Linked DNA regions of Macaca mulatta. The protein of the gene in region 1 interacts with the protein of each later gene in a pairwise test. Links are inferred from orthologs where the notes say so. Each region holds a gene or a part of one and is shown on either strand. Other genes may lie near its edges.

The links.
Region 2: the proteins of C14H11orf68 (region 1) and CSDE1 interact in a two-hybrid assay, tested with the Homo sapiens proteins (2 studies listed by BioGRID and IntAct). The link is inferred for Macaca mulatta from reciprocal best matches to the Homo sapiens genes C11orf68 and CSDE1.

The regions. Positions count from the first base shown.
Region 1 is NC_133419.1:8,502,013-8,506,350, forward strand, and holds C14H11orf68 (UPF0696 protein C11orf68 homolog), read left to right. Parts: upstream 1-1,426; 5' UTR 1,427-1,451; coding exon 1,452-1,573; intron 1,574-2,263; coding exon 2,264-3,023; 3' UTR 3,024-3,675; downstream 3,676-4,338. Other genes in the region: DRAP1 (dr1-associated corepressor), read right to left, coding at 19-138, 440-533, 629-701, 939-980.
Region 2 is NC_133406.1:125,531,610-125,535,419, reverse strand, and holds part of CSDE1 (cold shock domain-containing protein E1), read right to left. Parts: intron 1,479-3,810; coding exon 1,300-1,478; intron 485-1,299; coding exon 321-484; intron 1-320. UniProt on the Homo sapiens protein: RNA-binding protein involved in translationally coupled mRNA turnover.

The DNA.
Region 1 (4,338 bases):
GCCAGGCCCTGGCCCCACCTGCGGGCGCCCTTGTCCCCATCCATGTGGTTGTCCTCCCCGTCCCCCTGCATGTCGGGAACAGATGCCACCAAGTCCTTCAAGAAGTCAAACTGCTGCTCCAGCTCGATGCACTGCTTCCTGGAAGAGGTGAGGAGGGGCTGGCACTCAAGACGGGCCCAGACACCCAAACCCTCAGTGGGTGGCAGCAAGGGGCTCCGGATGTCAGACTGGAGCTCGGGCTGATCTCCGCCCCCGGGCCTGCACTCCTTTACTTAAGTGGCTCCCTCTGCCTGGACGCCCAGCCCCTCCTCTGCCAGTCTGTGGCCTTGCTGGTGTCCCGGCCGCCGCCCACCTCCCTCGCCATCCAAGCTCTGCCTCCCTCAGTGTGTGAACTCCCCGCGCCAGCCCCGCCGGCCCCTCCCTGCTCCTCGCCGCTCACAGGTGGGATGTGGTCATGGTCTTGGCGTTCCGGGACTGGGTCACCTGGCAGGCCTTCTTCAACAGCGACTCTAGGAAGAGCTCAAGCGCCCGGGCTGAGGGGCGTCAAGGAGAACGCCAGGGCGGGGGAGGGCGACCCGCTGCCTCCCTCCCCGACGCCCCTCGACCCGGCCCGCCCCCGGCAGGATACAGATGATGACAGGCACCGCCGCCGCCACCTTCCCAATCTCTTCGTCCGTCTGCATGATCTTCTTGATCCGCGCCTTCGGGTGGGGGAGCAGAGTTCAGACCCCGTCGCCTCCGTCCCCTAAAGGGGTGCCGGGGGAGGAAGGGGCATCCCCGGAGAAAGGGGGCGGAGGACGCGGACGCGGGGAGGGCACGGAGGAGGCGGGGCGTCCAGGCCCCCGAACACCGCGGCGCGCCTGCCTTTCCAGAGGGAACTGGGCCCAAGCCTCCCGGGAGCCGGGCCCACTCCCTGCCGGGCTCTGCCATGTGCTCACCGGCGGGAACCGCGCGTTGTACTTCTTCTTCTTGCTCGGCATCTCGGGGCCTCTCTCGCCGCGTCGGGTCCAGCGCCGCCGCCCGCAGCCTCCCGGCTCCCGGGCCTGCTCGCTGCCCGCCCGCCTCGGTTCCCCCGGGTCCTGGTGCCGCCCGCTCCGCCCCCGCCGCTTCCCGTGGAGTCCTAGCGCCGCCGGTTAAGACGCCGCTCACAGGGCCCTAGTGCCCTCCTCTTGGAGCCTCCCGGGCCGTGCGCATCCCTCCCCGGTCTGTACCGCTGCTCCCGCCCGCCCCCAAGACCAGAAGAGCGAACGTTGGCCCCGCCCCCCACGGCCCGCCCCTCCCGGGGTTCCCGCGATGGCCCCGCCCCCCGAGTCAGCACCTCCCCGTCGGCCCCGCCCCTTCCCCTGCCGGCCCCGCCCCACAGCGCGGCCGCTGCGGCCGCTGAGGCTGGCGGCTCCGCCCCGTGGCTGCGCTTGTCTATAAAGTTGTTGTTGAGGTGGCACGGCGCTAAGATGGCGGCGGCGGCGGCGGCGGCCGTGGCGGGGGTGGGGCGCGGCGGCGGTGGCACGGAGCCCCGGCAGGAGCGGAACCGGGCCCGGGGCTGGGCCGGCGTCGAACGCAGCGAAGGCCGGAGGTGACTGCGGGCGGCGGGAGGGGCAGGGCAGGGCCGGGGCGGGAGCACCGCTCGGGCCGTGGGCGTTAATGGCGGCGGGCGCGGCACGGCCGGAGCCTGGCGCTCCTGCAGGCTCTAGCAAGCCCAGGTTCGACTCCGGGCACCGCCCCATTGGCTTCGGAACGGCCTGTGCCCTTTCTGGACCTCAGTGTCCTCGTCTTTAAGTGGGCCCGATAACGCCTTCTCGGGAGGCCTGGCCCTACAGAGCCGGCCTTGGGAGCTGCGCGAACGTGCGCTTCTTTGCCTTCCTCTATTAAATGCCAGCGCTCCGGATACCTGCCAGGAAAAGGGGGCCTTGTCAGGGCCGGGAGGTGTAGCTGGGGCCGGTTGCTCCCACGCCTGGATTCACCCTTTGGCCCTGCCACGCACTACAGGTGACCTTGGGCAAGTCCTTTCTCTCTGAGCCTCAGTTTCCTTGTCTGTAAGTCAAGGAGAATAGTAATAACTGCAGCAACCCTTCTGGAGCGCTCACTCCTCAGGCATCTAATTTTCACAGCGGATCTACAGGACAGGAACAGTTGTTATCCCATTGTAAAGATGAGGCAACTGAGGCGCATCGACAATAACTCTTACCCAAGGCCACAGTTTAATCCAGTGCCTGGCACCTGTAGTTATTGTCTCAGACCCTGCCCTGACTCGGTTCCCTCACAGCAGGATGGAACCAGGTGAGGAGCTGGAAGAGGAGGACTCTCCAGGTGGCCGTGAGGATGGCTTCACTGCTGAGCACCTGGCTGCAGAGGCTATGGCAGCTGACATGGACCCCTGGCTAGTGTTTGATGCCCACACGACACCTGCCACTGAGCTGGATGCCTGGCTGGCCAAGTACCCACCATCCCAAGTTACCCGCTATGGGGACCCCGGTTCACCCAACTCAGAGCCTGTGGGCTGGATTGCAGTGTATGGGCAGGGCTACAGCCCCAACTCCGGGGATGTGCAGGGCCTGCAGGCAGCCTGGGAAGCTCTGCAGACCAGTGGGCGGCCCATCACACCGGGCACCCTGCGCCAGCTCGCCATCACCCACCACGTGCTCTCAGGCAAGTGGCTTATGCATCTGGCACCAGGCTTTAAGCTGGACCATGCCTGGGCTGGCATTGCCCGGGCTGTGGTTGAAGGCCGGCTTCAGGTGGCCAAGGTGAGCCCACGGGCCAAGGAGGGTGGGCGCCAGGTCATCTGTGTTTACACGGACGACTTCACGGACCGCTTGGGTGTACTGGAGGCAGATTCAGCCATCCGTGCAGCAGGTATTAAGTGCCTGCTCACCTACAAGCCTGATGTCTACACCTACCTGGGCATCTACCGGGCCAACCGCTGGCACCTCTGCCCCACTCTCTATGAGAGTCGTTTCCAGCTTGGGGGCAGTGCCCGTGGCTCCCGAGTGCTTGACCGTGCCAACAACGTGGAACTGACCTAGAGGGGCCAAACTGGGGAGACTGCCCTCTCCCCACTCCATGCTGGGGATGGATCCTCCTGTCTTCCTCCTTGTCCCATGAAGGACAAGCCCCCCAACTCTGGGGACTACTAGGTCACTTGGGAACTACCTGCATCTTCAGTCCCCTTGAACTTCTGCCCTCTGTTCAGGGCTGATGCAAGCCCCACAGGCTGGGGGAATCCGGTTGTCTGAGGGATGAGCCTTCAGCCTCCCTTTGTAATGCTGCTCCTCTCCACTGCCCAGGACCGTGGGTTGGGTGCAGACACCTAAGAGGAGAGACTTCCTTGGGACGCTCATCCCCTGCTATACCTCCCCTTCCTCCTGCATCTCCCCTTCTTTCCTTCCCCCTCACAAGGGAGAAAACTTAGTACTTCCAGCCCCTCTCCTTGGAGCCTTCATGGTCTAGGGGTAGGAGCCCCACTGGCCTGAGCATGCCATTTTGGGGGGAGGGTGGTTGTGCCTACTTGTCCTTTGGCAGAGGGGATGCCAGGACCATGGACATGAGGCCTGCGCATCCCTGCCAGCTCACACAGCCTGTCCCACCATCCCCCCTTCCTTGGCTACTTTGACATGTGCCTGCTCCTGGCATTTCAATAAAACCCGGCTTGGGTCTGTGTCTTGAGTGGTTTTAAAATACTGTCTTGGTGGTTACCTGCTTTGGTTGCTAGGGAGAGGCAAGGCCAGGAGAGACTACCCCGTTGACCCGGCCAGGCCCCCATAGCTGCCCCTAGCAATAAGTTGTGCCTCACTGCTGAGGCTAGGCCCTGTCTCTAAGAACCTCTGCAAAACCAGCCCCACTTCCCCTCCATCCCAAATCAGTTTCTCAGAGATTTCCCATAATTCCAGGGGTTGATCCCTCCAGGAACGTCTAAGGGGCCACTGCTAGCCCTCAAGGTACATTTGTGCATATTAGAGGAAGGTACCAAGCCCAGGCAGTCCTAGGCCAGGGTACGTGGTTTGGGGAGCAGAGGATGGGATGGGCTGGATTTCGGCACCCTAGGCTGGACATCCTTGTGCAGTGAAAAACCTGCGCAACCCTAGGTAGTCTCTCTGGAAGCCCCGCCATTCATACTGTCCTCTTCTACCATCCTGACCTTCATAGGGCCCACTGGACAGTTTGCAAAGCGCTTTCATATGTATTAAATTTAAATCTCACAACCTCTTCAGGAGATGTTGGCCCCATTCTGCGGTCAAGGTAATTGAAGCCAAGAAGGGAAAGGAGTTTTCTCAGTGTCATGCGATGAGGTGGGCAGAGCTAGGACTTGCATCCCAGTCCCTTCCTCAGGCAATGAGGTCC
Region 2 (3,810 bases), on another chromosome or scaffold:
AACAGAGTCAGACTGTGAGACTGTGTCTCTGGGCGGCAGAGAAGCAAAGAGGCATTATGAATCAGGATGACTAAAGTATTAGAATTTTAAGTAGCATATAACCTAGAAATGACTTAATGGAAGGAAAGGAATTTGGCAAAAATTTTAAAAAACATGTACTACACAATCTTTTTGTATTAGACTAGAAGGAGGAAGTAAATAAAAAGTGGCAAAAGGGGAAAAAACAAGGCACAGAAAAGTAAAGAAATGTGATAAAACAGAGACTACAGAAGTTGAGACACTCCAGGGTAGTTACTAATCAAACCACAACAACAACTCACCAGACTCGCCAAACATTACAGGCGCTGCACTTGCCAGTGCGCTGATTAAGAATCACTGAGAACTCCACCTCATCTCCTGCCTGTAGCTCAATGCCATCCTGAACTTCTTTCACGTGGAAAAAGAGCTTCTTGCTATCTCCTACTTCATAGTTAATGAAGCCAAACTGGGGGAAAAAAAAAAAAAAAGTAGGTAAAAAAGAGAGGACATGCCACACCTCACTCTGAGTGAAGCACAATGCCTGCCCCTATATAAAAGGATGTATAAAACATGATATTAATGTTGATACTCCAGTCCAGCTGCCTGTGGCAAAACCTGTCAGGGAAGAAATGTATCTTTGAAAGTGCCATTCACTATATCACAAACTTGAACCAAACAAATAAAAGTTGCCTTGTTCCTTCATACATTATGAACTAAGCTTTTTGATTTAAGCAAACTCATCAGGAAGTTGTTACTTCAACATACATATTGTTTGGATCCCCTCTAGAATTAAGCTGGGTTATAGCAGTATATGAAGCAGCCATACAAAATGTTATTCTCTGTACTGATGACGAAAAACATTATGAGGACTCAGATTTCCCTGAGATCTCAGTAGTAAGACTAAGTCTGTTTGCCCTAAGCTTATTTTTTAAGTACTTTCGAACACGGTTTCTGTGTCTGTGTGATATGCAAAAGAAGTTCTAAGCAAAAGTGTACAAAACCATACAGTCCTTCTATTCTGGAAATCTCACCCCAAACTTATTTTCCCCATTGCGTAATGTTAGTTACCAATACCAATCTTACTTTCTCATTGCTAATATAGTCACTTTTTTGTGTAGTTTTCTGTTTTTATTAAGCTACCTCAAATGACTGAAAAAAGGTAAAGTAGAAATACAAAAACGAATGAATGTTGATGATTTCCCCTTGGCTGAAAAAATTTGAAGGTTCTGGTTACCAACTCATAGAAGGATCAAATTCAGATACAGAGATGCTGGCACTTACCTGATCTTTCACACATTCCACTGTGGCCCTACGCAGGGGTGTGATGTTGTAAGCCATAGTTTGTGCATTTTGGCCCAGGACACACAATTGGAACTTGACGCTCTCCCCTTTCTGCAGGCAATCCCCTTTGTTGGCCATCCCAACGATGCCAAATGGATAGACCTCCCCTTTCATATCGCCTGTAAAACAGGTACAAAGTTTAAAGGCTAGTATTTCACAACAGTCCTCTGCTGATGATCCTAGAAAGTTTATATAGTTGCTAAAAATGTGTTATGTTACCTAAAATATATATATATCTATTTTTAGTACTCAGAAGTTTCACCTTAAAGCTTAAATGAAATTCCAAATGTTAAATACTACCATGGAACCAAATGAGAATGTCACAGCTCATCAATACTTTATTAGCTGATGAACAATTTTAAACTGCATTTATAAATTTAAAAAAAAAAAAAAAACACAAAAGAACAAAAAACTGTCATTTACAATCCCATTACCTAAATTTTAAGCACTATGGGTTGCTAATAATATTCACAGGACTATCTTCTTCTCAAGTTCACAATATGAGCCAACCAGCCAAAAATATTTTTGTCCCATACTCAATCGGCCAGTAAACAACTAGGCAGGCATAGGCAAAAACAATTTAGATAAACCTGACACCCCATCTCCTTTTTTTGTTCCAATTCTGGTTCCCTCATAGGTTCCTTTTTCCAGATCAGAGATCAAAAACCATTTTCCTAAAGGGCCAGATAGTATATGTTTTAGGTTTGCAAGTCATCCTGTCTAACCAACTCTGTTGTTGTAGTGAGAAAGCAACGAAAAACAGTATGTAAACAGATGGTTGTGGCTGTGATCACAAAAAAAGGCCACCATGTATGCTGAGCCCTGCCCTACAGTATAAAGTTGCCTGGAGCCCAGTGCAGGCTACAGATATAAACTATGCCAAAGAATTCAGCTGCCTAACAATTCAGCATCCAGGCAAATGTACTCGCTCTGCCGCCCAGACTGGAGTGCAGTGGCGATCATGGCTCACTGCAGCCTTGATTTCCTGGGCTCAGGTGAGCCTCCCACCTCTCAGCTCCTGAGTCACTGGGACTACAGGCACGCACCATGACTAATTTTTGTATTTTTTGTAGAGACAGGTTTTTGCCATGTTGCCCAGGCTGGTCTCAAATTCCTGGGCTCAAGTGATCTGCCTGCCTTGGCATCCCAAAGTGGTGGGTTTACAGGTATGAGCCACCACACTTGGCCTTTTTTTTTTTTTTGAGACAGAGTCATGCTCTGTTGCCCAGGCTAGAGTTCAGTGGCATGATTCAGCTCACTGCAACTTCTGCCTCCCAGGTTCAAGGGATTCTTCTGCCTCAGCCTCCGAAGTAGCTGGGATTATAGGCACCCACCACCATACCTGGCTAATTTTTGTATTTTTGGTGGAGACGGGGTTTCACCATGTTGGACAGGCTGGTCTCGAACTCCTGACCTTCAGGTGATCCGCCTGCCTTGGCTTCCCAAAGTGCTGGGATTACAGGTGTGAGCCCCTACTCTCGGCCCCAGCTGACTTTTTATTTTAAATACAGCAACCAAAAAACTTTGAGGAGATAATCCGAAGAGATCAAGTCATGAGGAAGAGTGATCAGAGGAAGCTGGTCTGACCTCATGCAATATCAATAATTACCACTTATGATGCACATACTGATTCATACTTTATAGAACCTTCTAAGGCTGAAGGTATTACCATTTTAAAGATGAAGAAACTGAGCTAATAAAGATTTAAGTTATTTGTCCAAGATTATAATGCTAGAACAGTGTCCAGATCTATGTCTGCCCAACTTTAAAAGTCTTAGTATAAGTTACAGTTGTGTTACTGAATAAAAGAGCTAGTGCTTACCAAGTGGGAAAATGTAATCTGTCTAGTCCCAGGCTTAGAGATGCCTAAACAAAACCCTTGCTTTGGACTATATCCCACAGCCAGTGCTGAAGAATGAGTGGACTGGGAAGTGGGGATGCAAAAGGAAGTAAAAGCAGCATGTTAGGAAGAGGTGGAAAGGCAATTTGATATCATATCGTGAGTTAAAGTAGTAGTCTATACTCCCATGGCCTTTTCAGGGGTGTGCTGTCATGGCATTTGTTTAAAAATTCATATTTAGAGGTGGGGGAATAGTGGTTTTATGTAAAACAGAAATTCTAAGAATCCCATGTGGTAAAGGAATAGGTTATCAAGGTTCATTTCCTTCTCCCAAATGACCTGCTATTCACCACTTTATGTTCGCTGACTCTTAGATGATGCAAGGACTTTATTTTCTTTGTAAACCAAGCCATCATCTTTGGCTGGAATACTCAAGCCTTCTCATCTACTCCACCATCATGTAACTCTGCTATCCTAATCATCTACAGAGTTCTCTCCTATTTCTATCGTGTATTTATTTTATGCATACAGATCACACAAAGTTGGTCTTTCTGATGGTGACTGCTAGAGGAACAGTTGCACTGAACTCTGGGAATTCTTGAAGATAGCAG